Lonchura striata: one gene and its partner. The protein of the gene in region 2 interacts with the protein of the main gene of each other region in a biochemical or structural test. Links are inferred from orthologs where the notes say so. Each region holds a gene or a part of one and is shown on either strand. Other genes may lie near its edges. The genes, in order: KLHL6 and RC3H2.

Region 1 (16,127 bases), on a different chromosome or scaffold from region 2:
GCCCTGCCCTGCTTAGAGGGGGCAGCTCGGGGCATCCTCCACTCTTCCCGCTGCACGTGGCATTTCCATAGCAGTGGGCATCACAGACTTTGGCATTTCCATGGCAGTGGGCATCAGAGCCTTTGGCATTTCTATGGCAGTGGGCACCAGAGCCTCTGGTGACAACAGAGTTTCTTTTCCATCTGCTCAGAAGTCTGCTTCCCTCTCGCCATTTCTTTGCTTCCACCACCACAGCTGATGTGGTCTCTCAGCAAGCCCTGCTGAGGGAATGGGTCATACAGAGGTTCCTGGGGGGCAGGAGCATGTGGACAGGTCTGGAGGTTGTTGCTGAGTTCTGGTGAGGGAAGCAGGGCTCCCTGCCATGGTCCTGGGAAGCAGCTGGGATCTTGACCCTTGCCAGGGTGAAGGATGAGCAGCTCTGCAGGCAGTGTGGGTGGCAGAGGCTGCTGGGTGGGACCCAGGGTGGGCACCAGCCTTGCAAGTGCAGTGGCTGGGCAGCCACCAGCCCAGACAGAGGAGGTGACTATTGAACTCATGTTGCAACTGTGCTTTAGGTGGAAAAAATTTGTCTGGCTCACTTGAGGGTGAGGCTTAGCTGTTCAGCTGTTCCAAACCCTTCACCTGCTTCCCCCACCGTGGCAGGGACGCTGCTCTCTCCAAACAGCCCTCCACCTCTTCCTACTGCCAGTTTTGACTGCATTTGGTCAAAACTTGCTAGAAGGGACTAAAGAAAGATATAAATATGTACAACTTTTTCAAAAACAGTTTCTACAGAAAAGTAGATAATTTACATCGGAATATCTATACTGCAATATCTAGAACTGTGCAAGTTATTTCTTTTTTGGCTCTTTACCAAGTCTACAAGGTTAAAAAGAGGCACTGCTACAAGCTCTTTCTAGTCAGATAAAAAGATTCTATTTGAAATTTGGATTTCTCACGTCACTAATTTGAGAGAATTTATCAAACAAAAATGTTACAATAAATTGCAGAAATTATCTTTTCAGCTGTTGATATATCCAAATGAAACATTTGACTTTCAACTCTGTTCTGCTGCATGAATAGCACGGACAATCTGGCAGAACTCTAGTTGTGTCAGCTTGATATAGCAGATTATTAAAGATTTAGTAGTTACTAAATCTTTTTTGCACAAAACACATTTTCAGCCCAAACCCTCACATTTATAATGAGAGGCCTTATAAATTTATAATGAGGCTTTATAAAACTTGATAGTATCCAAGACAACAAAAGTTTTTAGCTGAATATTTCTGGTGTTCTAGGTTTATCTAGTTTTTTATAGTTTACTTTTCTTACTTATGGTAACCTCATAATTTTATCATTATTCTAACAGAGTTTGATGGTTTTCTTAAAGCACCAGCCTTGGGAATCAAATTTAATCTTAATTTTAATGAAAAGTACGGAGGATACATGAAAAACCATAAGTTTATACTTTAGATATTTCCAGAAGGAAAAAAAAGGGGAAAAAAAAAGCTGAGGAATGATCCTTTTGTTTCAAAAGAAAACAAAAACAAGATAGAAAAGTGTCCTGAAAATGAACCAAATGTAGCTGTTTAATGCTGCCAGTTGGTAGTGTTGGTGCATGGAAAATGCAATGCAGACCCAGGTGACATTAAAGTTACCTTTGTGAAATTTTTTCCTAATATCTAATCTAAACCTCCCTTGGTTTAGATTATCCCTTGAGATAATTTCCTCTTGTCCTATGACTTTTTACCTGGGAGAAGAGCCTGATCCCCACCTGGCTACATCCTCCTGTCAGGGAGGTGAGGAGAGCAATAGGGTCCCCCCTGAGCCTCCAAACTGAGCACCCCCAGCCCCCTCAGCTGCTCCTCACAGGACTGGGGTGCTAGAAAGCAGAGTTCCAGAACTGCAGAGCAAAATTTCCATGTAGATTCAGAAACCTGAATTCCCTCATGGGCCACAATGATCACAGAGTTGGGTGTTTCTTGCCTTCCCTAATGAGAGGAATGGACACACACATGCACATTGGCACTTGGCAGGTTATGTTGGTTACAATTTGTTAGCAATTTGCAGCATGGTACCAGACACTGCAATTAGGTAGACCTCACAGGTGATTTACAGGACACGTGAATACCTCATGGACCAAAGGTTGAGTAACACTGACCAACTCCAGCCTCCCACAAATCCCAGGTCATGACTAAAACCCTTTACACACGAGTTCTACAAAGGAGGATGCTAACTTTGTCTGGCAAGCCTTCATCTCAGGGTAGGGGAGACAGAAAGGCAAAGTAATTTCCTGCTCTGGCCAGCCATGCCAGCTGCTGCCCACTAACCCTTCTGACTGGCCTTCACAGGCTGACCTGAATTTTGGGGAGCACTGCCAGGCAGGCAGCACATGGGAGCAGCTCTTGGAGACACAGCCAGGCTCTTTTCCTGTTTGCATGGCACTCAGCACAGCAAAATTCCAGTACATGGCTACCACTGCCATTTTTTACTTTAATGGAAGTAAATATGAAGCAAAATGCTTCCAGAACCCATGAAATCAGAGAAGTTTGCAGTGTGCTAACCAGAGTAAGACACGGTGTTGCCAGAGCAGTGAGATTGGGTCAGTGCATCTGAGTTATCTGTACCTGAAAGAGGCTGGCGGCTTCCAAGACCTTTTGTACATTTTGCTTTGTGATGAGCATCTTGCTGGTGTAAGTGTAGTCCAAGAGTATATTCATGGTTTCTGCATCAACTCCTTTTAGTATGATCTTCTCCTCATATTTCTCTCTTAAATCATTGCAGAACATGGCCCTGGAAAGAAAGACATTTATCTTTTACTGCATTCCAGTCAGGATGAGGCATTCTGAAAACACTGGGCTATTTAGATTTCAACACAGAATACTTTGATTGCTTCATATTTTATGCAATTACTCCTGTTGAAAAGAAACAAGAAAATATCTTTTTGTTGCTCTTCTTCCTGTGTACTCGTGAGTTTGATAAGGCATACACACATGATGCATTCCTCCAAGCTGTCCTCTACAGCAGACCTAGGGCTCCATGGCAGCAAAGGGCAGCTGGGACTGGAGCAGTGCTGCTCTCTCACCTGCTGGCCTCTTGCTGTGTTTCTAGTGCAGAGTCCTGCAGCTCGTTAAGGTGTGGAATTTTCCAAACTTCATTAGCCCATGTGCTTTGTACCCCTTGGCAGGTCAATGCCCCCCTGCTTCCGAGCTGCAGGACTCTGCTGGGACTGAGCCCCGAGGCCAGAGCAGAGCCACGTGTCTGAGCCTGACTTCTCAGCTTCCCAACGTCTCTTGGGCCACATTAACACCAGTGGTGGGCCAGGGGAGAATGGCTTATGGCTTTCTTCTAATTTAGAACCCGACTTTTCTTCTAAATTTTGGGATTGTAGAGTTGGTACCTCTTGGCTAGAGAAACAATTGACTTTGCATGAATTGGAACTACTGTTAGGCAGAAAATGCAGTAATTTCATACATGTAGATAGCAACTCTTCTTTGATGAATAATACTGCATTTGAAAGATGACCACAAGGCATACCTTTGGCACTAGGCAGATATTTCATGTGGGGTATAAATCAGAAATTCTCTAAGGGGAATTTTCATCCATTTTGCATTGTGACAGCTGCAGGACAAACACTCACATCTTCCTCTGCATTTTCAATTTATAGATTTAAGTATTTCTTCCAATGCTTTTTGCTTTTACTTAGGATTTTGATCAGCCCCTTCTTGTTCACTGCATTCAGAGAACAAAATGTCACATTATTTGGAATCTCTCTCAACAGATCAGAATTACGTGAGTCCTCTTGTAACTGCATTGGTGAAAAACATGTGCAGATCTAAAGTGCAATTAGAAGTACTCTTTACCTTGCATTCCAGGCCTTCTTTATTAGTCACACACAATGTTGACAGGACAATGCAACCTGGAAAATGTCTAGAGGTCCCAAGTCTTAGGCCATGCTTTTCTTGTAAAAGAAGTGCCTGAATTAAGCTGTCTGACTGACACATCTTACTGGAGCCAAGACGTAAACAGATTTTATTGCAAAGCAGTTAGGCACGATGAATGGCAAATGGATGGAAGATACCAGCTGCTACTTGCTCTAAGAACTACCTGTTCCTTACCTCAGCAGAAATTTTATAGCAAGGTCTTAGTTACCTCAGTGTGCAAAACTGCCTCTGGATAGAGAGGCCTAACTTTTGAGCAGGAAATTTGGGCAGAGAAGTTACTTGTCAGAAAAGTTGTTCAGCCAAAATTCTCATTTTTCCTTTCACTCAGCTCATTAGAGGTTTTTGCTTCACTGTCCTGCCTCATGGTCCAGCTTCTGCTGCTACTGAAACCAGAATATTTCAAGGCATTTAGACAAATGCTCCTTAACTTTGGTGACCACAAGACTGAGATTCATTTAGCTTCCCTCCCTCTGGCATTGTCAGGTGATGTAAGAGGCGATGTGTGGGCCTCTGACAGAGGTGGCCATCTGAAAAGAGCAGCCCTCAGTTCCCACTGCTCCCTGGGAATGGGCTCCAGCCCGGAGAGGGAGGCTGGCACGGGAGAGCTGTTCCAGTCGTGCGGGATTGATGGCTGCGGACGTCTCACATGAACAAGAAACAGGCCCGTGGAGGGTGCAGGTGGTGTCTGCTCTTCTTCCTTTCTTCTCTTGAGCTGGTGACTCCAGACTTGTATTGACCCATCCCTGTCGGGGAGGTGAGTCTCACTTCTGCCCCACAGAGCGGAGAGTTTGCTAGGGTCAGTCAGAGATACCCAGTGTGACACTTGGGCAAGGCTGCTCAGAAACCAGCCTCAGCCTTCTGCTGGTGCCTTTGCACAGGGTCTGCTCAAAGTGCTTTGGCCTATCTGTCTCCTAATCTTTGTCATTGGTTTAGAGCTGCCATCCGCTCCCAATTTCGTAGGGTGTAGCTGTGAGCTGCAGGACCCACACTTCTAAAGCATGGTGCTCTCCCACCAGTTCTCTGCTCTAGATCATGGCAGGGCTGAATTTGGGCAGTGCTGCACAGGAGAGCTGACTCCTGTGGCCTTCCTTCTGCTCAGATGGAGTGGTTCTTGTTCTCACCCTGTGTGCTGGAAGGGGAGCACCTGACACCACTCAGGCTGATTAGGATGAGCTTCTCTCCTAAGGATTAAAGTTATGTCTCTGAATCTTTCTGAATTTATCCTTATTCTGATCTAAATCATTCAGATGTGGCTACTAATTCCATTGTATGATTCCCTGGGTCTAGTCCCTGTGTGATTCTAAACTGCACATTTGAACCAACATGTACTCTAAGAAATGCACATCTGAATTAAGGGTCCGGTGCCAAAGTTAGATACCCAAAAATGGGTAATTTTAGAAAAAATTCTAAATTTTTTCTAATTTAAAATCAGAGAAATCTCAGTAAAATAAATGATGGGTTGCAGTTTTGTGAAGCACGTTTTAAGCATCCTCCCACATAGGAATGCTTGTGCTTGGAACTATGAACCTGACTTCAAACAACCATGCTGGAGCTCGAGGATACTCTGGAAAATGGATTCAACCTCATTCTCTCACTACTCTTGGGCAGTGCAGGATTAAAGAACTACTGTTCCACCTTAGTCAGCTGGTATTTCTCTTTTCTGCTCTGTTATCATCATGGAGGTAAATGGAGAGCAACAGTTTTTATGTCTACGGGTGCAGGATGTCACAAGAATTAGTCTATCTACTCTCCAGTAGTGCTGAAAAAGGCCAGAAGAAGCCTTCTAACAAAGTTAGTTAGTTAAACAAAGTTAGTTAAACAAAGCTAACCTAGAAGTGGTTAGTTTTGTTAAAGTGTGTTCCAGCCAGCTGCTGTGGATTGCCCACACTGTGGCACCCAGCGTTCAGGAAGGGGTTGTGTAACAGGCAGGGGAATGAAGCCCATGAGTCACTGGGTCCCTTTGCTTTACTCCTGTGCATGGCTGTTAGGAGTGCTGTAATAGCATGGAAAGTGCTCACAGGAACAGTGGGATTTACAAATTCCTTCTTTCTCTGGGGCCATGCAGCTTCTAGAGAATTATGGCAAGATGAATGAAGGCTCCTTGTGAGCAGCAGAGCCAGCAAAGCTCAGTTCCCTGCAGACTTGTGTCCTTCTTTCCCTCCTCCCAGTAACCTCAGCTTCCTCTTCCTGAGCCCTCCATTCTCCTTCCTTACTCCTCTGACACACTTCAGGGTCCCTTGCATGAGCTCAGCCCTGTGCTGGCTGTGCCCAGCAGGGCAGGGCAGTGTGGTTGTTCTGGGCACTGTGTGCCAGGACACCCTGCTCCTTACCCTGCAGCACACCAAGGGTGCCAGCCCAGCATCTCTCCTCTCCTAGCTGCAAATTTCCATCAAACTCACGGGAATTTCAGGTTTGAGACCTCCATCCTGTGCCAAATGTGACTGAAAATAACCCAAAGAGTCACGACAAGAGGCACTGGCAGACAGTGAGATGTAATAAATCTCAGCTCTGTGGGAAGGCAAGCCAAACAGAAGCACCCAGAGGGGCAGACCCTGCACACGTGTGCAGTTGCCTTGGGATGAGATGAGCTCCAGCCAGGTATCCTCCTTCCTTCCAAGGGACAGGCTGTAGCTCAGGAAAAGTTCAGTGGAGAGCTGGCCAACAGCTGTTCTCATAAAATTATCTTGCCTGGTTTTAACTGGGAAATCCTTCTGACTGCAGCATCTTTATTTATAGTGAAATTGGAGTTTTTTGTCAAAGTATCATTATGATAATTTTGATTTTAATTTGTGCATCTGCTGTCCATTACACACATAATGCTGGTAAGATATATTTGGACATCTCTGCTTTTAGCTGTATATTTTCTCATATGCAATAAATGTAGTCTCTCTGTAGAAATAATACCTGTCTCCAAATATTCACAGACACAATCTCTACTCTAGATTAGAAAAGCAGAACTGTTCTTCCAGGCACTACCAGCAAAGCTTACCAGACTCCATATAAAATTAGCTCTCTGCTCATGTCACAAGTGGTCACAGGTTCTTTTTTCTCGTGTTTCCCCTGTAGCTGTTCAGTCATCTGACCACTTTAGCAGTAAATGAAAGAAAGAAAAAAATCCCAGCCATGCAAATGTGATGGTCTAAATGATATTGTCTAAATTATATGGAAAATCTGTGCTAAAGCTGATACTAAGTTCCTCTGTGTGTCTAAAATTTGTTCTTATTGGCCAGTAGTCTCAGATAGAATATCTATTGTACTGAAAGAATGAAAAATTCAAGTGGACCAGAAGGAAATGCTTTCAAGGGGATATTTCCCATTGCAACTGATTTCCAGATGGAAAATTCCTTCTCTTTCCTCCTCAACAATTTAATGCAATATATATTTTTACCTGAGAATGGTAACAGAAAAAATTAGCAAGTTCCAGAAACCCACTCCTATTTCAATAAAAATACCCTGCTATCTGAATGAGTATTCCTCTTTGCTCAGGTCCCAAAAGGACAAGACAAGTGGCTAAAGATGCTTGGTCAAAACACCCTTTTTTCATGCACTTGTCTGCCAATATTCTGTTTTCCTTTGCCTGCCTCCAGCAGACTTTTTGAATGCTGGTATCAGAACTCCAGCAAATCCACAACTTAGCACCTGCCTTATTTAAGTCTCCAACTTTAAAAAAAACTGAAAGACTTTAACACCCAGTTTGCACTCCTTGAAGACCTACAGTTCAAGTCTAAGAAGCAAAATAAGTGTATTGGTTTTGTTTGTTACAAACCTTACCTGAAATAATTGCTTGCTGCAGCAAGGACCACTCGGTGACAGGAGAATTCCCTGCTGCCCACGCACAGGATGACATCAGTAAGGGAATTTTCAAGCCGAAGGTTCTCAAGGCCATTCTGGAGCACCAGAGAGAGACCTGTATCATCAAACTTGACCTTTTCACCACTGGAGACTTCCACCAGGTCCCCCATTTTCGTCGAACACTCATTGTTCAAAGAGATCTCGGGCTCCTCAGAGCTCTTCTCCAGCGTGTCCCCCATTTTCTGGCCAGCCCTGTCTCATTCTGTTGGTGCTTCGATCTAAAAAGAGCTCCTCAGCTTCGGGCAAATCACACTGCAGAAGTTGGGCGGATTTCCTGTCCAGAGGTCTCTGCTTATCTGTAGCTGTCACACACACATAACAGGAAGCCTTGCACTTTCTCATCCTGTTAACACAAACAGAGGCTGGGTTTTTTCAGTGATTTTCAGGCAGTATCAGCGTGTTTAGAAAGGCCTTAAGATGCCTCTGGATGTGAGAAGATTACAAGTGACAGGGACAGCCTGCTTCCCAGCCTCAAGCCAGTCCCTCACTGTTATCTGCTGGTTCTATTGATGGGTGCACCACATGCCTATCAAGCACTCCTGATGGACCAGGCTGCTAAGGGGAAAAGAGTAATATTCTTTATTTCTTTTTCCAGGCATGAAATTATTAATAACTGATTTGGCTTGGGGTTTAGTTTTGGATTTTAGTAATACGTTTGCATATTCAGAAAGTCCTCCAAATGGATGTTTCTGTCCCTCATGACTTTTATTAGCTGGCAACCATTGCATGGCTTTTCTTTAAGGCTAAATGGGCACAACTGTCTCAAGGACGTGGACCAGCATCAAAGATCTCACAGCTGACAGTCTTCAGGCTCCACTGCTGGGCACAGGGATGTGGTCCATGCCACCAGTGCCCTGCCATCAGCTCTGACAGCACTGAAAGCTCAGGGAGAGAGCCTGGGGAGCAGTGTGCCCATGCTCATCCCCCCCATCCTCACTGATGGGCGTAGCTTGAGGCACAGCTGCATCTGACTTGTCCCCGAGACAGACATGGACGGTAGCAGGACCAAGGCTGCACATCTGGCAGTGGGGACACTGCAGGGCAGCTCTGGGGCTGAGCCTGCAGCAGGAGCACACAGAGCACAGTGCTGAAGGTTTCGCTGTCACCTAAGGATGGACCAGATCTACTTGGACATCACTTAGATGAGAACCTGATCCAAGCTGAATGAATAAGCATCACAGCCTACTGAGAGTACCAGAGCAAATCCCTGGCTTGCTTAGGAAACTCACACTGGGAAGTAGAAAAGCACACCTTTATCTCCCCCTGAGAGGAATGTAGGACCAGTCCTCACCTCGGTAGCTTGACTGCTAACCAAGCTTGCCTTTGTGATAATTACCTCTAGGAATCCTTGTTTGGCCAATCCACAGGTTCTTATTGTGTGTTTGGATTCCTCTTTGTCTCCAGCTTGTAAAGTTGAGCTCACAGTATTATGGGAAACTTGGCTTCCCCCTCTTCCAGAAGGAGGTCAAAGCAGGGTCTGAGAGAGTCAGATTGGAAGATGAAGAGGAAGGAAAGCAAAAAATATCCTGCCTGCTTTCCTCTACCTCCTTGTAATGGGGCTTTCTTCATTTTGTGTAACCTGTGAAGCCTTTTGGCCTTTTCCTTTCCCAGCTGATTTAAATGTGCTCCTGCTGCCTTTTGTGCTAAGTTTTGCTAATGAATGCTTCCTTTTCTAAAGCCAGTTCCTTCTTTCCCAAATACTCCTGTAGGAATACAATGAGAAAATTACCAAACCTCTCAAAAGTGCTAGGTATGCTTTAAAAACCACAATACTTTAACCCTATCTTGGGCTGGGTTCTCCTTGTTTATCATCCTGACTTCTGACCTTTGGGAATTCATCTTATCAGGCTTTTCTCTGAGGGTGAGAAGCTTCACATTGTGCTTATCTGTTCAAGCGAAAGCTGAGATTCCACAGCATCACCTGATTCCAGTTGCTGAAGCTTTAAGCAAAGCATTAATAATGGTGAAATTGAAGTAAGTCAGTGTTGGCTGTGGCTGCTGGGAACGGAAACCCTGCAGTAACTAGGTCGATGGCTGTGGTATTGTCAGTAACTGCACTGCAGGAAGGACCTCAGCAGCTCAAGGAACTGTTGACTATTAGCAGTAATCATTATCCACAGTCTGTCTCCTTCTGTGTCATTGCTAACCCTTATGGTGTATTTTTAACCCCTAAATTCTGGTTTTTTTCTTGACAAGCACCTCCCCTCCTTTCTTCTGTTGCCATGGTGTTGTGGTTTAACCACAGCCAGCAGCCCAGCCCCAGGCAGCTTGCTCACTCCCCCACCACTGGGACCAGGGAGAGAACTGGGAGGACAAAAGATGGAAAACCCATGGGTTGAGATAAAGACAGCTTAATAGGCACAGCAAAAGCCACACATAACCAAATCAAAGCAAGGACTCTCTTCACTGCTTCCCATGGGCAGGTGGGTGCTCAGCACTCCCAGGAGAGCAGGGCCCATCACACATGATGGTTACTTGGGAAGACAAACCCCATCACTCCAAACGTCTCTCCTTCCTCCTTCCCCCCACATTACATCCTGAGCATGATTTCACACAGCCTGGAATATCCCTTTGGATATTCCCCACACAGTTGGGGTCCCCTGTCCTGGCTTTGTCTCCTCTCAACTTTCCAGGCACTCCCAGCCTTCCCACTGGTGGGGCAGTACAAAAAGCAGAAAAGGCCTTGGCTCTGTGTAAGCCCTGCTCAGCAATAACAAAATCACCTCTGTATTATCAACCCTGTCCAAATCCAACCAAAGCCCCATACTAGCCACTGTGAAGAAAATCAACCCTACCCCAAACAAAACAAACACATTCCACCCATACTCCATATCATTCTCATCATGCTCAGGTCCCACACTCCTCAGTGCACCCTCGTTAATCACCACCCCACCTCCCACCCTTGGATATAATGCACAGATGTCAATCCCTTAGTCTGTGTGCTTCCCTTGAAAAATGCCCACAAAATCTCCCCAAATGTCCATAAAATGTCCTTTCAGTTAATTTACTTCGTGACTTTGGGCTCCATCTGTTCTGGTGGTGACTTGGGACAGGCAAGGTGCTGTGTAAGGGAGAGGTCCTGGGCACCAAGGCCATCTTAGGTCAGGTCAGTTCTGCCCTGCAGCTGCTTCTTTGGAGGCTTTCCCTCCATTCATTTGGGTGATTCCTGTTACACTAATTCCCGTAACATACAACTCAAATCATGGCTTACAACAAAGGTGTAGCCATTACAGTCTCCACCCCAGGTCCCTGCAGGTCACAGTCCCTTCCACCCCAGTTCCCACCGGAGTTCCAGCCTGCCCAGTGCAGCAGCACAGACACAGCAGCGATGCCCTGGCCACCTGCCAGCCCAGGTCCATCACCATGGCTGTCACCAAAGTGCTCCCAGGCACAACACAGTGCACAGTGCATCAGCAGCACAGCAGCAGGGACTACCAATGAGCACCAGAATGTAATTTACAGGCAGGCAAGCAAGTCCTGTGACAGGCACAGCAGCCTGCTCATTACTAGCTGAACTGCAATAACAGCTATAAATTCAGTCTAGTACATCCCAGTGAAAATCTGAGCCCTCTGTGCCCCACATTGGGCTGCCCTGTGTTCAGAGAATCCCTTGCTCAGGGATTAATCTGCAAATGTAGTAACTAATTTCATTCTCTGGGCTAGCATGAGGACAATGCTGAGGTGAGTGTTGTGTCTTTGCAGGTATAAGGGAACAGCAACCAGGCAGCTGCTCTCCTGAGGTGCTCTCTGGCCCAAGACTGCAGTAGCAACATGTTATTTAATCCTGGGGTAAATCCAGTTTGTTACTTCATGGTAGAAGCTTCCAGATACATTCTTCTATTTGGCCTTTAGGGACTTGTTCTGTCTGCACTCTCATACTGTTTTCAGTAAAGAATTACCTGCTAGCTAAATGAACTGGTAAGAGCTGAAGGCTTGTCTGTTCATGACTGGTTTGTCTATTCCTATCTTAGGAATACTGAACATATTGTGTATGCTCTGTATCAGCTTGAGAGAACTACCTGGCTGGAATTACTGTGCCAATAATGTATATCCCTCTCTTGTGTCATAGCAAGTTTACAGAGCCCTGTAACATCACAGGCTGCTGCTGGTACCTGTGAATCTGCACAGTGCATTTGAGCTGAGTTCAGAGGCTGCATTCCATCCTGCCATGACTTCCTCACCTCTGTGTCTTCTCTACCCCCTTGACCATGCTCCCTGTTTAAATGTTGCTCATTTTCAACTGTCTGTTCCTGAATCCAGGATCTCATCACTGTGGCATTTCAGCCCTGTAAAGTTTGACCTCGACACATGAATCTGCCTAGACTAGCCAGGAGTCCTGGTTCCCATCTTGTAAAGTGAAAGATTCAGGCTGTCCCAGGAAAAAGTCATGGACTTGGGACCATGACTAAGAGGAGGGACAGAAGAAATCACACCCACCAAGAATGGATCAAGAGCAAGGAGCTGAGGCATTCTTTAAACAAAGGTAGAAATACAGGAACCTATTCCTGACAGTTCTTGTTACTTATTTTGCTTCCCACATCCTTGTACTTTTAGCTAACAGAGACCTTAGGGACCAGATGAGTCTGAGAGGAGCCACAATGGTATCACAATGGGATCTAGAAACTTCCTACTCTAAGTAATGAGCAGGTTGCTGAACTTGCAGATGGCAGTGACTTCATATCTCTGACCTGGAGCTCATACAAAGTGGTCCTTGTTGTTTCTCTTCTTCCTCTTATTCCAGACCATGTCCATTTTGCTGCCACAAATGATACTCCAAGTCTGTGTGTTCTGTGACCAAGTGTCTCCTGTTCCAGGCTATTCCACTTGTTACACTCCAGGCAGCTTTCAAAGCTGAAGCCACCCAAGAACATGTTGACAGCTGCATCTCCAGGCCTCACCATGCTTCCTGAGGGCTGTGGGGCAGCGTTCCTTCATCGGAGAGAACCTTCTTAAAGGTGCTGCCTCCAAGAGAGCAAGGACACAACAGCAGAAGAAAGGTCTTGGCAAGGTTTTGACTCCTTCAAGTAGAAAAACACTGCAATTCTTCCACTGTGCATCCCAATAAGCACTACAGAAAACACCTCAGAGCACAGAGGGCCCTGCTGGGTAGCAGAGACAGTTCCTTGGTGTGGGAGCAGGGGTGGGGACTGCAGCTGGACACGTATCAGGGCTCATCTTACCATCAGCTGTTTTCTAGCACAGTGCAAAGCAAGATAGCTGAAGCCTGAGATAATCTTGTCAACCCTGGAAAGTTGCTGGATTTTTGTCTGTGTTTTCAGTACATTGGGATAAGGTTCACTTGCTCAAAATAGCACGTTCTTAATTTAGCTATGGGGGAACAAATGGGATTTCAGTTTTTGAAAATACATACAGAACTTTTGGATCAGATTTTCTGTAAACTGCAAACTGGAATCTTTGTTTCATTGCAGTTTACTTCCTCTGCTGAACCAGCGCCACCTTCCATTTCAAAAACTACTGCTGAGACTTCTCATATCCCTCCCTCTGGGCAGCTGCAGTTGTTCAAAGTCAGCAAACAATGGTGATTTTGTGAAGCTGGCCTGTCTCATACCCTCACTCTTGAAAATTTTTTAGAGACGATTGCAGTGTTACCCTACAGTGTTGCATTTATTACCTGTCCATCTTTTGCTCTCAGAGGGTTTTTGCATGTATTTTAAGTCACTGGGATCTTTCTAGAAAAACTGCTGCTTCCATGTATTGTTTCCTTCGGGATAGTCAGGCAATGTGCTAACAATCCAGATGAGTGACTCCAAACCATGCTTTCAGCTTGTATAACAGAGAGGTCCCAGCTGGCCAAGCTGTAAATGCCAAATTATTTGGGTTCAGTATTTGAAGTCTGGTTGTTATATTGCTCCCACGTGTGCTACAGGCTATGGAGGTCACCCCGATGTGTGGATGGGCAAGTTGAGCTCAAGAATCTTTGATGCCCTGCTCATTAGCTTTTGAGGGAGTGGTGGAGGAAGGCTGCTATTTAAATTAGTGTTTGGTCTATTTGAAACAACTGAATTGCAGTCTGGGGGTGCAGTATGGTCACTCCCAAAGCAGCAGGCAGAGCAAGCTGACACATCACTCATATTTTAAGATTTTATAGCCCAAGATGAGATGCATCCAAATGAAACTGAAGGGCTGAGGCCAGGAATGCAGCTGTAGGTAAGAACCAAAAGAAATGCAGTGGGTACCAGCCATGGCAGTTGAGGACAGCTGTAACAAGCCTTCCCCAGTCAGAACAGTCCTTTCCTCCTCCCTGGAAGAAGGATAGCCTTTCGTCAACACCTTACACTATTGCAGGTTTTTCAAGACAACAGACAAACGTTCCTCCTTTTCTGTCCTCAAGATAATCAGTGTTTGAAACAAAATAGCAGCAGTTACTTCCATTTCTTGTTGTTTGTGAAGATGCAAAGAAGGTCCTAAAGTTAGTTTCAGGTAGGGAAGAAGAATCTCACTTTTTCTAACTTAGAGTTGAGTTATTCTCGAAAAGATTTTGCCAGCATTACTCACAAAAAGGTTTTGTCATCAGCATCAGACTCCCTCTTGTTTAATTTTATGTAGCAAGATGCTCAGGTCACTTGTCTACTGTTGTCTGCTCTGCCACCCATTAGAATTTATTAGCATCTTCTCTGTATTATTAGCTAGTGGCTGTTTATGCAAAAATAATTCTTCCTCTAAGTAAATTATACCTTTGATCTCCATAATTGGACGTCAGGAATCAGGTCCATGCTAGAAGAAATGCAGGCCTGTTGTGCTCAGTGATATTTGATGTGTTCTCTGTGCACCTTGATGTGCTGCTGCTGCCAGGTTCTGGTACACGAGGTAAGGAACACAGCCTTGGCCAGAGCAACAGCGCCATAGCTCAGACATTTGTCCCACAGCTTAACAAAGCCTGACCAACAAAGCAGCTCTTGAAATGAAGGAGAGCTGTTCTGCTTGGCAGGAGCTGGGAACTGGAGGAAGCTGCCATTGCAGTGAATTATGTAGAGGTCCATGTTTTAGAGCTTGTTTGGTGTTAATGGGACTCTGCCTGGACTAAAGTTTGAGTTCTTGAGTCTAATCATAATATTTGTTGAATAGGCATCTGAAAAGCTCACAGTGTGATCCCAAACCATGGGAAATGAACCTAGTCTCTGACTGATGTCTAAGGCAACGCTGACTTTTATTTCTCATGAGGCCTGTAGATCTCAGCTAGTTCTTTGCACATACCTAACTGTGATGAGTTCACACTCTGAGTGATGCTCCAGAGCTGTGACCGAATTCTGCTTTGATTTTTTGACTGTGTGAAGCTTAGAAATGTTGGCCCCAAAATCAGCGTGGTCCTTCCTTACCTTCCTTGTGGTGGCATTCTGCTAGCTGGCAACACGGATCTCCTTCTTGGGTTGTAAAGCCTCTCAGCCTTACTTGGGAAGACCTCAGGCAGAGAAGCCAATGTGATGGTCAGCATGCCCTGTACCCTCACCACTTGCTGACTTGCACCAGGCTGCTTTGTTTGCTTCTCTGCAGGACTGAGTCTATCAGACCAGAAACCCATGTGGACCCAGAGCAAAAGAATGAAGTCCAGTTTCAACTTTCTGAAGCCAAATGAGATTTTTTTTTTTTCTGGAGCTGGTAACAGGAGAAGGGAGCAGGACTCTTTTCAAGAAGGAGTGACACTCTGTATAGGGCACTCAGCAGATCACAGACTGTCTTCTTTTTTTGACCATCATATGGTACAGTTTCTACCACTGGTTTACATGGGGTCATTTACTAGCTTGTCTAATTATCAAAAAAATAAGGATGGCATTGGCAAATATTGTTACTCTTGGAACATAAGCTTATTCCAGGAATAAACTTATCCCAAAGTTTTTGTAATTAATTATTGTGTTTCCTATTCTGACACAATAAAGGGGGGAATTGGTTAACTGACAAGTGACTGCTGAAAGCTGAGCCTTGCTTGGTCTAGGGGAAAGAAGTAAACTGGAAAGAACCAGAAATCTACATCTTTTCAATAAACAAATACATAACTTTTGGTCAAAGTGCAATTTGATTTAATACATCTACATACAAATGCTCTCCTGTAAAAAACAGCATCTACATCCATCTGATTTTCCAGGTGACCCTTTTCTTCCACAGCTACTTTTTTAGCTCAAACCTGACATTTAAACTTGCCATTTAATGGTGGAAAGAACGGTGAATGTCTGGTGAACCTCAATATTGGTTTAAAAAAAATGGACTATAGTTCTCAGTTAGTTCCACATCATTACAGCAACTGAAGCTTCATTAAGTTTTAAAATATTGTTAAAAAAAATTTAATGTTTGCAGTTTTTCAGAAGGGTGTCTTACTGTCTCTTTTGCAAGAAATTT
Region 2 (16,655 bases):
GACACAGGACCCACCCAGGGCATGTACATGGCTCAAGGAATGACAAAAAGGGCCCAAGATGAGGATTAGCATGATGAAAGATTGATTTTGTTATTACTCAACACCTTAAAAACAGAAGTAGGGTAGAAAACAATAACCAACTGTCTAAAAGATGAAGAACACTAGATCTGAGAAGGTGATCAGCATACCAGATCAGTATGATTTACTACAAAAAAGCTACAGGACAAAACAAACTAGCAAGACTATAATACAGCAAAGTTTAAAAATTATTTAAGCATCATTTGGGCATACTAAAATCTTCCAAGAGAAGAAGCAGGAAACTTAGTGGAAAAAAACTTGAAGCAGAGTAACAAGGTCAGATAAGGAAAACAGAGGGAGTGTTAGTCATAACAAATTGTTAGAATACATTGCAAGAACTTAGGAGACCATGAAAATAAATGTTGTAAGATCACACCAATGATCTGACACAAAAAAAATGAAAGGATCACGTGAACTTGAGAAACAAAACCACATAATGTCATTACCAATAGCTGTGTCAAGGCACATGATAGGACATTAAAACGCAAAGTAAATAACATCTTCTTACTGCCTCACGAAGGTGTTAGAGAGAGAGAGTAACATGAAAAAGCACATGAATCAGCGTAAGACTTATTTAGTCTCCATAAAGTGCAGTACTGATTATATAATCACTGTTTTGCCACTGCTACGAGACAGCGCAGGGAACATTCCTGGCCTGATTAGCCAGTGTCTGCAAACGCAACTGAAAAGCCATCATCAAGCACATTTAAAAAAAAAAAATATACACACACACTTCTGGAACTTGGTTAAACAGCCACTTCCAAACATGTGACGTTTAGGAATGAGATTTCTCACAAGCCTAAGATGAACAAGTGCAGTCTGCAGGTTCACACATTCTACTGACAATTGGGAAAGATAATTGTCTGCTTCCCAATGGGAATTCTTCTCCAGTCACAGTTCAAGAGCCTTTTAAAATCAGAATTCAGGTTACAATTAGAACATTTTATTTTATGAGAAGATGGCCCTAAATGGTGAAGTTGCTTTTAGAGTATGTATAGACTCCTAGAGAGTCCAAAGTTAAGCCTTACAATTTATTTGGGCTAAAATGAGGAAGAAAGAGCAGCACACATATTGCAACTGGCACGGAGAAGGCAACAACACCAAGTGGCAAACAAAGAGCTGCTTCAATCCTACCTGGGCTCCAACCAGCTGGAGGAGTGCAAAGTTCACAGGAAGCACATCGATGTCTGTGTTGATGGCAGTCTGGTCAAAAGGACATGCCTTGCGATGGAGCTTGTTCAGGCAGGTCTTGCACACGGTGTGAGAGCAACCTAAGCTGATGGGTTTGTGCACATTCTCATCAAACTCATTGTAGCAGATTGGGCAGGACAGAAATTCTGTCCACTGAGCTGCCTGCACAGGCATTGTGGAAGCTGGACACTTGTTTAGCAGGCTAGCAGACCATTATTTCACTGTACTATGTTTTGGCAGCTGTAAGTGAATAACAGAGTATTTAAAACATGCTTTCTGGCAATTTAGAATAACTTTTAATTAAAAAAACAGACCAATTTCAATATTACCAAGAACAAAACCAAATCTTTATGCTGACGTACTCAAAAACCTCAACTCTGGGTTAGTTTAACAACTGTACCAAAAAAGGCTCATGAACTAAATTAATGCAGACTACCCTAAGTTTAACTCATTCACAATAAATGGCATTAATTTTTCTTGGGGGGGAGGGGTCTGGTTTAGAATGTTATTTTCATTTCAAATTAAGTAAAACAACGCCTTCCTTCTGCAGATCTTATTCAGATTTAATCAGACACCAAACCAAGCTGAGCTTTGCTTTTTTAAAAACACATTTTCTCTTTCTGTAAAACACAAATCAACTAACAAATACCAAGAGCCATAAGAAAACACTAAAAGAGCAAGACCAGTTTTTAGTTTTATGATTTTTGTGTTACTTCTGCCTTTTCTTGTAAGAACTGGAGCAGTCAAGGGCAGAGATTGCTGTGTGCAATTTTGCTTTTCATGTTTCTACCTTACATATAACTATGTCCATGAACTCTCAGCAAGAAAATCTTTGATGTATATAAAACCCAGGTATATAGGACAAAATCTATGATGAAGCAAGCAATAACTTCAGATGGCTTCCTCATCTCTTGATATGTCTCACTCCGTGCAGTAGTACCAAATAAATTGTTTACATAAGTGTATTTCAAAGAAAATATGGCTTTATGGAGATTGTTGATGTATCTTATATAAGTCACATTCCTGAAAAAGGTACCAGGCCTAAGAAGTTCATCAAAACCGTTCTCATCCAAGCTTCCATCATCACCATTTACATTCAGAGCTCCACCCCGGAGGGAGTAGCCCCACCCTGGGCTGTGCTGCGCCACCGTGTTTGCTCTCTAGGCAACCTACAGACCAGTTGGGTCACTTCAAGGCTATGAACAAGATTGTTACAAATGCAAATACACAAATGTTTTAATTACATCTTTAGAGTTCTATTTTTTTTACTCTGATGAGAAAAAAAAGGCAATTGCTCCGAGGAACATGAGATCTCCCCTCTGTGTTCAAATTCAGAAACTCCTTACTGCAGTTCCATTGTTGGCTGTGCTATGGCTTAATTAATACTAAAGTACCAGACCATTGAAAGAATTACTAGAAGACCAAATAGACTCTTATCTGTGGATGTATTTTATGTTAATTATGACCATCTGTTGAGAAATCCTATTTAGTACTATGAACATTCAGTGCCCTTTAAGTAACAGGATACTTGTACAAGATGTCCTTATCTCAGCGAGCTTTTCAATATTATGCAGCAATTTTTGCCTCAAATGAATTCCCATAGTAAAACACACCAAACTGGAATCTGAACCTCTCAAAACCAAACTGCTGATGTTACACTTCCAACGTAAGCCAGAAAATTCCCATGTATTGGACAAATCAGATTTTCCTCTGGCTTCTATTGAAAGCACAGGCAAAGCTCTAGCAGGGATGAACACACCAAGTCATCTTTAACATGCTATTGCTGCATGTGTCTTTTAACCAAGAAAATTTAAAAGCAAAATAAATAAGAATGAAGCCAAACACTGAGCCAACAGGCCTAGAAAGATTTTTGATTCCTCTGCTAAAAATCCCACCATTTCCTTTAGCACATCTGCTTCCCTTCTGAAACAGTCAGACAAGAAAGAGATGCACAGAACTGCAGAGCCTGTCTGTAAACACTTCCCTTACAGCTTTCTGCAGCACTACCAGAAATATTAAAACACCAACACCAACGTTACTGCTGACCTAGGGCTGATAGTGGTGCTTTTTCACTTGACTGCAAGACACAGGTAACAGCACCAAACTCTCTGGGAAGTGTGTGACTGTCATGACTCACACCGGGAAAAGTTTAAGAGGCTGGTACACAGAAAGCTCAATTGCTAGTATGTCACTAACGAGCTCATAATAAACAGTCCCTGTGTCCACACTGCTCATTAATTATCTCAGATGCAGGGATCTCTGCTCTGAGACAATACCCACGTTTGGTTTCCACAGGTGCTTCAGAGCCTTGCAAGAAACTACCTCTCTGTTTGAGCTTTTAAAAAATATAGTTGTTTTCCTGACCAGCATAGAAATGAACACAACAGATTCTTCAAGTGTGCAGCACCGGTTTTAAAAAATCTATCTCTGGGTGTTTAATCATCCCAAATGACAGATTCTACTAAGCATGTGTTGACCTTCAGATTTCTTGACAGGAAAAAAATCTAATTAAGCCAGCAAACAGCTGGGAATAGCTCTCGACTCCCAAAACTTCAAGCAGCCATAGAGGGAGGAATCTCCATACTTTATTGAGCCTGCCAGCTCTCCTGCCACTCTAACACCCCAGTGTGTAGGAAAACAATCTCACATCTCCTAATTACCATGTCAACTCCTACAAAAAGCATAAGCCAAATGTTTAACAGATTCTTGCTCCTTGTCAGAAACAATGTATTTCAGGGATGTCCTCTTGAAGAACAAATTGCTCCAGCACTCTAAACTGAGCAAACACAAGGAGGAGAGCAAAAAAAAACAAGGAAGGTAAACTATTAATCCTTTGGATTCTGTTTTTAACAGGCAGCACACTCCATTAGAACAACTACCCTTGGCCTATCTGCTCATTCTGGCGGATTTCTTTACACTACACAGGGCTCCTCTTCCCTGTCAAAATAGAAGCACCCTGCAAAAAAAAAAAAAAAAAAAAAAAAAAAAAAAAAAAAAAAAAAAAAAAAAAACCCCAAAAAAACAAAAACAAAAAAAAACAAAACCAAAAAAACAAAGAAATGGCTGATACAGAAACTGGCCAGACATACAAGGAAGCAGTCTGCAAATTCATGGCAGTTACTACTTAACAAATCATTACATAGTGAAGTTACAATTAGTTTTGTGGCATTACTACCAGAAGCGATACTTCAGATGACAAACTGAAAATCGTACAAGCCTAAGTTCAGAAATTATGTAATAATAAAAACCAGTACAGCTGAGTAATGTGTTTTTAAAACAGTAGTATTTTCCTATTGCAGTCATGGCTGCAATGGATCAGAGTAACAATGATAACGGACTGATTTTCTCATTTTAGACCAGAATATCTGATGAAATTGGAATGTGCGGTGTAAGGGGAGATAAGTGAAACCTCAAGATCTTCCTCAAACAGCTGTACCACTTACAAATGATCTAAGTTGTAAGATTTAGATGTCCTTTACAATTTTATATTAACTTTTAGCTAACTAATCTAAATCATTATGCTTACTCAATAACCTCTGGACATGATAAACAGAATTCAATTCTGATTTCCTGAAGAAACCAAGCTTAGGTGATCATACTGTTCTGTCAGACTGCTCCTCTCCCACACTGCTCAGTCAGGGCATTTGCCAAAATGCAGACAGGCAAGTTTCACCCCTTATCACAGAAAGGGTTGATGGCTTAACTCGTTCCCCCCAGCATCAGCTCTGCCCGGCTCAGGCTGCCTCCATCAGGTCCCTTGTGGGCCTGAGCAAAGACAAATAAGCAGAGCTTGGGTGAGAATGAGGCATGGAATAATTCTGTCAGTGCTGAACAAAGGGAAGTCTTCTCCACAGATGAAGGAAACACTTGGAAAACGTGTGAAATTATATGGCATTTTCACATCTGAGGTTCAATTACAATCCTACTGTGGATTTAAGCCTAAATCTTAGAATTCTATTGATTTTGAATCACTAAATTAAAGAGTCCTTAATATTGACTTGCTCTTAATGCTGACTCCAGAGATCATGGAATTTTCTTTTCTTTTTTTAAAGCAATCTCCATTAAAATTGTTCGTTTATGCAGATGAATGGTTGGTTTGCACTACAAGGAGGCAGCTTTTCCCAGCTTTCCTTCCTAAGTTATGTAGTTCCTGAAAGCATTCTGACTGGGTCAAAAACTTACATATCACATAATACAATTATCAGTATTAATATATTCGCTGGAAGGGCTCTCTTTAACAGCCATCATCCACACATCTAAAAAACTGGCTCCATTAAAGGCTTGGGGAAGGACCCTCCCCACAACAGCTTTGCATCATTCAGCTATGATGGCTTGAAATTGAAATAAATCCTCTTTACTGAGGTGCCTTTTCTATGCCTACACTCCGTAATATCTGTCACATGCAAATCTCTTTACATGATGTGAAAATTTTCTATGTAAAGTCTCTAATGACCATTAAATATAGTATTTCAATGCAATTCTTTCACTGAACATTAATGCTCAGGAGTATCTGCAGCCCAATTCAAGCTCCAGGAAAGTCACCAATAGAAATTCTGGTGGAAAGGGACACACGTCCAGCTCTGCTTCTCGCAGGAGGACCTGACACTACAGCTCGTGTCCAGGAGCATCATCCACACGTTCCTGGTGCTCTGGCAGACTTGGTGCCACAACCACTTCCCTGGGGAGCCTGTTCCAGGGCCTGGCCGCCCTCTGGGGGAAGAGCTTTTTACCAATGTCCAACCTGAACTTCCCTGATAGCTTCACTCCATTTCCTCGTGCCCTAAATATAGATCTGAACGTTTACACGTACCCAGACTACGTTTTGCTGAAATGCCTACAGGATTCTCTTGTTAACTGGTTAAAAAAAAAATCAAAGCTTTAATCCCCTCTGCCTCCTTAAAACATGTGGCTGAAGAGTAACTCCTATCAACAAGGGTACGATATAAATTTATGGTCATGGTTGCTCAGTGACTGCCAGTGTTCACTCAATTTGGGATTAACTGCCCCCAAACCAACACCAGAGTCAGTGTACCCTCAGCAGTTCTCACCTGCTCAGTCCTTGCTACTGTAAATCATGTTAGTAGATATTAAAAGTTTCCTAAATACTTATGTAATGCCACTGTGGGTTTTTCCTTGCGTTTCCAAGGTGTCCCTGAAAGGAGAGCCTGTCCTTGCCACCAGCCTGATACCAACTCAGCTTCTGTAACAGTATTGACTTTTCAGGACTAACTGAAGGGCAAAAAAATGAAATTTTTTTTTTGCCACCCAAATCAGTTGAACTCTCTCTAAGCAGATCTACTTGGACACAGTTACTCCAAGAAGAGATACAGTGTAGAACTCCTAACTTCTCAGTAATATTTGCTGTGAATAAGGACTCTCACGTATGGTTTAGTTCTCCAAGCTTTTTTTTTTACATGACCTCCATGTTTAAATTATATTTTTTTAGATGAGAACTTCTGTATTTTAAACCATTTTATTGAAATACCAAGTCTATTCTGAGATGTAGGCAAGAAAACATAGGGCTCACAGGCGCTGGAAAACTTTTTTAAAGGTTGTACAGAATGACTTGAGATGCCCGCGGACAAATAATTTTTTCCTTTCCTTAGGGCTGTCCAGTCAGCAAAGAGAGATTCCCTGAACATTCATCCCATCAAAGATATATAAAATATCACCAAATGAAATGCAACATACTCCTAACAAATACTATCAGCTATTACCATCTGCTTATTGTAAATATTTTATCTATTTTAAAGCAACAAAGCCTTAAATAAATGAGATCACCACTCAAGATCAGGACTTCACTTTGGGATACCTAAAGCACTGACACTAAAATTTGATAGAATTTAGTATTTTTGAGAGAAATGGCCACAACCTCAAACAAGACAGAAATACAAGTTAATAAAAACACAAGTTAATAAAAACATCTTGGGGAAAGCTTTGCTTACAATGCAGAAACAAAACTTCATAAAAAAGGTGAAAGTCTTGGGAAAATGATTCACTACAGAAATTAAGATGTCAGTGTTTCATGGAATAATATTTATACCAGCAACAGAAGTTTAAATTTCTAGTATTTCCACAGATATTTAGAAAAGACCAAAGGTCAAAGAATAGTATTTTGATTCTGAAGATTTACGGCTGTACTGGTTGCTTCTCATTTAAAATTAGATCTCTTCTGCCACAACTGCAAATTTACACCCTTGTAATCCAAAGGACTGTTTTTAATTTTAGTTTTATTATTATGATGTAGCTATAATGGCCATGAGAGAACAACCACAAGAGAAGCTACAGGAACTACAATTAAACCCAAACAAAATTCTAAGTTGGCATGGCAATTAAACAGGCCTAGATCAGAAAATCTACTGGTAGCCCGTCTAAACTTTGTCATTATTTTCTGTCGTTACAGATCCATGCTATTCTCCTCTGAACCCTGCATGAACTGAACACTCATCACTCTCCCACCACTCTGCTGCCCTTCTGTGCTTTGTGCTGACTCTTACACTTAACTGGAAACCCTCCGTGCACCTCGAGCATCAGCAGAACCGGGACACGCTTTTCCTGCTTCGTTGTTTTGTGTTTTTGTGTTTAAGACACTTGAAACATGACACGGTGGGCGCAGTCCTGGGGCACATCTCCCACCACGACTCTCCTCCACCATTACCCTAACGCACAGCTCCATGAGTATTCCAGCCTGGCAATATCCATGGCTCCGGTGCACCTCAGCGCGGACTGCCCGGTGCTGCGGGTCCCCAGGGGGCTGCCAGGGAGGGGACCGGAGCTCCTGCCTGCGTTGGCCGGTGCCCGGAACGCCGGGCGGCCCCGCGAGTGCCCCCGCAGCTTCGCCCCGTCCGCAGGCCGCTGTCAGCCGCACCCGAGCCCGGCCCCGCTCCCGCACCAGGCCCGGGCCCTGCTCCCGTTCCGGGCCCGGCTCCCGCTCCTGGGCCCGGGCCTGGCTTCCCGTTCCCGCTGCCCGGCCCTGCTCCCGCCGTCATTTCGGAGCCGCCACCAAATGGCTGCCCGGGTCCCCGGGCCGGCCCCGCGGCCTGGCGGGGCCCGCCGGGCGCCGACACCGCTGCGGTCCCCGACGGGCCGCACCGGACGGGCTCAGCCCGCCGCCGCCCCCGCCCGGCTCCCGCAGCGCCGGGAGGCAGCGGAAGGACCGGGCTGCGTGATGGGGGGGGCGGAGGTGGGGGGGGGGGGGGCCCGGCGGGTCAGCGCGTCCCCCGCGGCGGCCGCCCCCGCCCCGCTCGGCGCGGCCCGTGCGGGGCGGTGCGGTGCGGTCCGTACCTGCCGGGCGGGGGCGGCGGCCGGAGCGCGGTCGGGCGGTGCCGGCCTCACGCGCCATGGGGCGGGCGCGCGGCCCGGCGGAGGCAGCGGCGGGAGCCCCGGCGGCGCCGCCTCATCGCGCTGACAGCGGCCCCGCCGCCACGCCCCGCCACGCCGCTCTCGCGAGAGCCGCGCGCCGCCCGCCGCGCGTGACGGCGCGGAGGGAGGCGGTTACCATAGAGACGGCGGGGCAGATGCGCCCGCCGCCAGGGCCGAGCCCAGCGGGGTCAGCGAGACGGCGGGACGGAGCGGCGGCCGCCGCCGCCAGCGCCCCCTGGTGGCGCGCCTCGGGCACAGCCGCCTCAGCGCTTCCTCGGTGCGCAACGTCCGCCTCTGGCCTCCACTACTTATTGTCCTTTTAAAATGTAATCGGTAACTTTCGCCGCTAGTGTCGATTATTAATTGTCGTTCTAAATCGCAATTGATTACTTAATTGCTGCTGGCGCTGAGGAGGAAGAGGGGATCGGAGGCGCTCTCTGGCCCACGCCGGCTGTCCCCGAGCCGCCTCAGGCCGGCGGGGCCCCGTGAGGTGTGGGGAGCGCTGCTGCCCCAGCACGGCAGCCCCCGGAGCAGCGCCCGGCAGCTGCAGCTGCTTCTCCGCTCACGCAGATAACACAGCCTACAACACAGCCAAGGTCACGGCGGTGCAGAGCTGTGACTCCTCAGGGGGAAGAATTCATGGCACAAGTGGGTCAGACAGACTCCTCTGAAGGACAGAAGAACGCGTTACTAAATGACCGCCACTGGAACACCGTGTTTTGTTTACTACATCTTGTTTACTCAACACAGCAAGCCAAAATAATAACTGTTAAGGTATGCATAGCATTATTAACTGCGATCAGAAAAAACGAGGTGTATTTCTGACACAACGCCTTGTTTGCATTTCATTTATTGTGTTATGACAGGGCATGGTTACATGTACAGACAGGGGAGAGTAAGCTCCTCTAAAGTGAACGTGCACAAGACCAGGGTTTGTCCACAGAGCTTACTGAGACACTGCAACCACTGAACAGAACATGCTGGTGGCCCGTCACACAACACAACTCCCTCTCATGTTTACATGCACGACCGAAATAACTTGGAACCTGTTCCCACAGAAGACACACTTCAAAAGATCAGTGTGTTTCCCCTTTGGCACACAGGGAAGTAAGTGCTCATGAGGGAAATACCCAAGCATACACCTGACCTTGCCTGTAACAAGTAGTAACAGGAACGTGGTAGACATTGTACATACCCCAACCCCTCACGTAGCTGATCAATAAAACCCCAAACAGGTTCGTGCATTCACAGACACGGGGAAGGAAAGTGAACTGACATTAAAAACTATTGTCTCAGATTTTAGAGCCAGCCAGATTCTGAAGCATTTGGGCCAGACTCCTGGACTCAGAGTAAGAACTTGGAACAGCACTTCTGAAACTCGAAGGAAAGCGCGATACAGAAAGGAGTAAGAACTACTGCTTTTTGCTAGTTGTAAGTACCATTATCTCATATTAACAACTGAAATAACTCTTTATTCATATTACATTAAGTGGAAGAAACAGGTACCAGCCAAAGACACAGACTGCATCTCAGGGCGCGCGATGCTCATGATGAAACTAAAGGGACCTTTAACAAAGCACGAACACAATTCTGCAAACACACCTCATTACTGTGTTACCGTGTCACAGAATCAGGGTATGAGACCTCTATGTCTAAGCCATTGCTAGTCAGACAGAAATGCCTGGTTTTCAAAATTAGCATTGAAACTGTGATTACCCAACAGCACACAGCTAAACTTCACACAAGTGCACATAGCTAAGATTTGTAAAAAAAATGAAGGCAGATGTTATGATGCAACAAACAGGACTAAACTTATCAAATACAGGTGCAAAACATTGGTATGACAGAAAAAAATCCCACTATTAGAAGAAAGAATTTTATAAAAATTCAGAACTTGATAAAAGTAAAAGCAAGTCCTTTTCACGGGACTGTCCAGTTACAAATAAACTGCAAGGCAATACTGTTCGTTTCTTTCTCTTTTACAAATTTTCTGTTTGCAAGACACAAATTGAAAGGTTCCTTGATTAGTTTTTGTTTGTTGTGTGTCCTTAAATGTCATAGACTTGAATATGAAAACACACCTTCTTCCTGGAAGATCTAGCAAAGTTTGGGCAACGAAGGAGATGATTTCACCACGAATGATCCAGGAACTGGATGGGAACTGGATGCTGAATAAATACAAACACCCCCTTCCCTCAGCTGCTGTCACCAACACCACAGTTCAGGCTTCAGCTTATTGCAGTATCAGTAATAGTCTGAAAGTCAGCAGTGCCTGCCCTTGAAACAAGAAATATAAAACATCATTGGGGGACTAGGATATACTCAGTATAATAGAAAAGAAGCATGAAATAATTTCCCATATTTTGAAGTTTACTTTCAACTAGGAAACACCTTTTTTCACTGACAGCAATAGCAGCCTTAACAGAGCAGGCAGGTTTCCTACTCCAAGGCCTGTCTTGGATCACCAGCCACCTGTTTATACTTCTCTCTCTTAAATGGGGATCTGGAACTGGAATTGCATGTCGAATTTCACTAGCCAGGAGATTTTTGTGGAGTCTGACTCCACAATTGCCCAGCTATCAATCATAGTCTATTTTAACTTTTGTAATAGTGTTCAGGTTTGGCTTTTCACTGCTGCTCCTTCCATGAACAGAAGTCAAGTGTTTTTTAAGAGCAGACTTGTGTTTAAAGTCCATGTCGCAGCAGTGACACTTGTAGGGTCTGTCCCCACTGTGGATGTTGAGGTGATCCTGGAGCGTGCTCTTGGCCGTGAAGGTCTTCAAGCACACCATGCACTGGAAGGGCCGGATCCCCATGTGCCCTCGGATGTGCCTGTTGAGATTCTTTTTTTGCGTAAACGTTTTGCCACATTGCAAGCACAGGAAGAGTTTGTGCATTTTCAGATGTCTGAGATAGTTCTCGAGGTGCAGAAAGCCCCTCGGACACTTTGGACACTGGTGCCGCCATGAGCTGCCAGAATCCTCCAGGCTCTGGAACCCATTCCCCCCACTAGAAGTTCCTTCTTGATTATCACCAACAAAAGCCTGAAAGTGATTTCCTGACATTTCTGTATTCCTGCTTTCAACTGTAGAGTTTATCAAGGAGTGCTGGGTTTCTGGGAAATATAAATTTGTTTTAGAGGAAGTGCAAGGCTGAGAAAAATGATCATTTTCTACGTTCGCCACATTCATGGAATCCATTCTAAAGATACAGATTTCATCATCCTTATACCCAATTTCCACTGTTGATATTTCTGGGGATTTTGTGTCCTTCCTTTCTGACACCAAGCTCTGTGGTGCAGGGTGCGGGCCATCCCCATCGCCATCCTCATCCTCCTGTTTCACGGGGTATTCTTCGTTCTCTGGGCTGTCTTCAGAGATCTCGATTACTTCACAATCTTTATCTAAAACCTCATCCCCGCTCCTTAGTTCAGCATCCGAGGAGTGGCACCCCTCAGCAGCCTGGGTACTGCTCTCCATGGAAGCGTCGATCTCCAAGTACTTGGACAAAGCCTCGGTGCACTTCTCCACGATGTGAACCATCTGCAGGTAACTCGCGGCCGTCAGGTACTTGAGCAGCTCCTTCTTCTTGACCTCCAGCGCGCCCGTGTAGCAGGACAGCAGCAGCTTCCTGCCCACCTCGGCGCTCTGCAGGATGGTGATCCGCACCTGCCTGGACTGGTTGAGCAGGAACTGATCCCGCATGAAGGTGGAGCAGGCGGCGAAGATCACCTTGTGCCCCTGGAACTCGGTGTCGTTGATGTAGATGGACACGTCGCAGAAGAGGTTCTGCTGCCGCAGGAGGTTCATCTTTTGCAGCACGGCATCGCCCTGCTGCTCGAACTGGAAGTGCAGCACCTCCGAGTCCGCCGCCATGGCGGGGCCCGCGGGCACCTCCGGAGCGTCTCGCCGGGCGCAGCCCACCCCGCCTCCGGCAGGACCCGCTGTCCCGGGGCTCCCGGGCCGCCTACCGCCGGCCGCGATCCCGCTCCGCCCGCTCCGCGGCCGCTCCCGCAGCCCGCGCCGCTCCGCCGCCGCTGCCGCAGCGCCCCGGAACAGCTTCCCCGCCCGCCCCTTCCGCCCGCCCGCCCCCGGTGCGCCGTGACCGCGCTGGAAATGAGAGGCGGCGGCAGACAGAGTTAGCAGCACGTTTATTAGAAGACTTGGCACTGCTACAGCGGCTGCCGCTGGGGGGAACCGCACCGGCACCGGGGCGCGCCTCGCCCACCGTTCGGTAGAGGTAGCGACGTGTCCGACCCCGTAAGGCATCCCGGGGAGCGACTACCGGGGCTCCTCCTCGCCATCAGCCGGGACGCGCCGGGGGAACGGCGAACCGCCGTCCCGAACGCCGCCGGGACGAGCTGCTGGCTTCTTCACGGCCACGGGACATCGCCCGGCAGCCGCCGACCCGCCTGCTTTGGTTATCACACGTAGTGTAAGACTTTTGCCCAGTCAGTGAAGAGGTAGCTAATGCTCAGTCCATCGATTATACAATCTCAAAGGAAAGGCGTTCTGTCCTTCCTTCTCGCCCCTTACCAAGTCGGGAGGCACCACTATGTCCCCCTCTTTGTTTATAAAAATTAACATTTAACGTGACTTTAGAGTTCTCTCAACAGTTTCAGTTTGTATCACATTTTGATTCTCCCTCCTCACTTGTACTCCTCCTCCCAGTGACTTCAAAACCATAATCAGCCCCACACAATTTCTGTTATTTCAACAAAAGTTCAGCGGCAGCTAAGTTTTGCCAAAAAGCTAGGGGAGAGAAAGACTGACACTTCAAATTAATCAGTTACTAACTTGCAAAACATGTCTTCTAAAAGAAAAATAAATTAAGGAAAGACTCATCCCTGATCTATGCAGAAGGCTGTGCAGTTGCAGCATGTGCTGCAGGAACACATGCTACACAAGCTACCATCACTCAGAGAAGTGGTGAGCCCAAACCTCTGGCAAACCTAAATTCTAAAAATTCCTTCTTCTATATAATATAAATAAATAAAATGCCAACTTAAAAAAAAAATTCCTAATATACTGAGGAGTTATTAAAATACTTCTGTAATAGACTTCAGTTATTTTTAGGATATGCAGGAAGTTGTACAGCACATTAAGTCGTGAGACTATCCACTTACCAGCAAATGGTATTCTACACAGTAACACACAGATTATGATAACTGCCATAGTCCTCATCTGAATATGCAGCATCAGTAGCAACAACCAACGGATCTAATCTTTCACTACTCGGGACATTGCAATGAAGACAACATTTTACATACATGGACAATTAAATTCACCTTATTCTATAACTGAGCTGCCTCTGCATATTCCATTTATCATAATTCTCACTCCATTTTAATCTGTAATTCAGAGAAGCAGCATTAGCCAGATTTTGCTTTTCTATTACCTCTTCTGTGCTCTTCACTTGTTTTTCCACATAGGGGCAAATTCTAGATGAACTCTACCACCAGTGCACTTTGCATCGGCGTGTTGCCCTCAGAGCTCCAGTGTTTCTGGAGTCACGCAGCCATCTCCTGCATAAATCTTTTGGTCTGCACCCTTTTGCCAGGCTAAAAGCACACATTAGTAAAAGTCACTTTTCATCCAACAGATGTGTCCATTTTCAGTGAAGAAAGTCTTCTGCATTTCTGCTTTTTCCTATTTGTTTATGCTGTGCTCTTGCTAAACGATCACAGCAGCCTTTAACTGAGCAGCCCAGCAGTCTTGACCTTCTCAGACGTCCAGATCACCACAACACAGGGTGGACTGAACACCCATGCATCTTGGCCAAATTATTTCTTTTGTTTCTTAGGAAACCCCTTGTCTCTTCATATCAGCTTCAAGTCATCCACAGCAACTTCAACAAGTTGTATTCTCCTTACAGTAACATGACAGCTTCATAATTTCATAAAAACCAAAACTTTCCAGATAGACAAGACTTTCAATACTGTCCATTTTGCTGCCATGTTTTCTAGCATTTGTGCAGTTTTATTCCTTTCTGTGGCAGAAGACCATTTTCTTTTTTGTGTCCATATTCATATTGCCTTGGATTGTTCACTAGTACCTTACAACACGTTGATCTGGCTCTGCAAGCTCTTGTTCTCCACGTCTATCTTCATTTTGACATAGCAGTATAACTTATTTCCATTTAGTGAATAATACATTATCAAAATGTTTGAACAATACAGAAGATTTTGCCTGAAGACAGAATGCAGGTGTCAGATGCAACTGTCACAGTGAAATTTAGTTCAAAACAACTCTGAAAGTGGGTGGCTTCAAGAGGAAAAACAGTTTTTCCCATGCAAACCTATCTTCTACCCCAGCAACCTGAACAATAATTTTAAAAGTTTCAAATAGTTAGACTTTAGGCCTAAACATATTTGCTACAACTTGAAAGATGAATGCCCTGATGTAATTTCCTTTGCTTACTTCATAGCTGTCCATATAAGAGTTCGTGTAACAGTCAAGTGCAGTAGTTCAAGAACTCAATTGCAAAAACTGATTCATAGAATCACCTTTTTTTTCTACTTCAAAGTATGTGGATATCTGAAAACGGTCTGCAACATTAACATGTTTTAACGTCCATCAGTGTAATGTCTGCGTAAGGAAATCCTGACTTCTACACACACAAAACCGAAGAGCAAGACCAATTTTTGATAATGACATACACAACACTTTTTGCTCTAACACACCTTTGGTCATACCTGTTTAACATTTTTAACCATACAATAGCAGCCTTTCATCCCCACCCCTCATTCAAACACACCACGTACTACGTTTAGGTAGGAAGCATAATCTCAGCCTCACGGCAAACCTTGTGGAAAGGAGCTGCACTGGAAGAAATCCTTATTCCAAACACAAACAGCAGTTCTCTGCGGAGGATCAGCCATTTGATTATTAGTCTGTGCTACACTTCAGTACTAACAGTGCTGTTCTACTGGGAATGGTGTGCCTCAGATAAATTAAGCTTCTTTCAGCCTGACTGGGATGCGGATAATTCCACAGCACTTTTGAGAAGCAGTATGGTATAATCCCAGAATCCAAATTAACATGCCATTCCCGCTACATTTGATGTTTAAGGCGGTATACAAGAGGTATTGCTGAGTACAGTCAATAGCTGATATATTAACCTATAGAAATTGTGCTACCTATATCTCATCCTAGGATCTGTAAAACACTAACGGTCACTTAAAAAAAGTTCAAGAAATCAAAAAACTTTACGTTAAGTTCTTATAGCAGGTATTTTTGTTTAAAGTTAAGTGACATGTGGCCCTTATTAGACATCAAGGAGAGACACACAAGAACTAAGGGGGGGAAAAGCAAAAAAAAAAAAAAATCATGGAGTTGTTACACATTGCAGCTTTAAAAAGATTCTTTTCACAGTGTCAAAAAGCAGTATTTCTCCACTCCAGCTTTGCTCTAAACCCAACAGCTGTTGTGGTTTGTGATGCAAAACTTACGGAAGATGGAGGATAACTTTTAGCTTTGAAGTGTTTAGCTTGTCTCAGTACATGCACTGGTAAGTGCCCTTTAAAAATCCCAGGTATGTCAGCGTAAGAACAGGTCACATTTGCACTCCAGGACCAGCCTCTCACATTCCAGAGCTGCAATTTATCCTCAGTTTGAACAGCTCTATGCAATGATCAGCTAACCCTGCCAAATCATTTAGGGTTTCATCTTTTCATAATGCATGTTGAGGTTAAAAACCCTGAGAGTTTTTAAGAGAGCATTGATTGGCAGCAGAAGTTTCTTGAAATAGGTTTAGAAAGGGCAAAAAAGTGACACAAAAATACTTCATTTCAACTGCAGGAGTCTAGGGGTAAGATCAGAGAAAGGTAATTTTAAGAGGTAAGTTTAAATTTGAGTATATGGAGTGTTTTCAGTTATCCAGTGCTTTTTGAAAAAAATATCGGGTTATCTCACACACTTGTCCTCTTTGCTTTCCTCCATCTGCCCAGACACAGAGAAGCCTCTAACTGCACAGCAGATGGTTTACTTGCAGCCCACAGCAACAGTCTTTCAAAAGGTGTTAGT

What was found.
Region 1: the proteins of RC3H2 (region 2) and KLHL6 form a complex in vitro, tested with the Homo sapiens proteins (2 studies listed by BioGRID, with this or other methods). The link is inferred for Lonchura striata from reciprocal best matches to the Homo sapiens genes RC3H2 and KLHL6.

Annotation. Positions count from the first base shown.
Region 1 is NC_134612.1:3,012,854-3,028,980, reverse strand, and holds the start of KLHL6 (kelch-like protein 6), read right to left. Parts: upstream 8,060-16,127; 5' UTR 7,955-8,059; coding exon 7,695-7,954; intron 2,773-7,694; coding exon 2,607-2,772; intron 1-2,606. UniProt on the Homo sapiens protein: Involved in B-lymphocyte antigen receptor signaling and germinal center formation.
Region 2 is NC_134624.1:9,905,691-9,922,345, forward strand, and holds the start of RC3H2 (roquin-2), read right to left. Parts: upstream 8,629-16,655; 5' UTR 8,554-8,628; intron 8,122-8,553; exon of another isoform or gene 7,774-8,121; intron 1,510-7,773; 5' UTR 1,444-1,509; coding exon 1,213-1,443; intron 1-1,212. Other genes in the region: ZBTB6 (zinc finger and BTB domain-containing protein 6), read right to left, coding at 11,211-12,506. UniProt on the Homo sapiens protein: Post-transcriptional repressor of mRNAs containing a conserved stem loop motif, called constitutive decay element (CDE), which is often located in the 3'-UTR, as in HMGXB3, ICOS, IER3, NFKBID, NFKBIZ, PPP1R10, TNF and in many more mRNAs.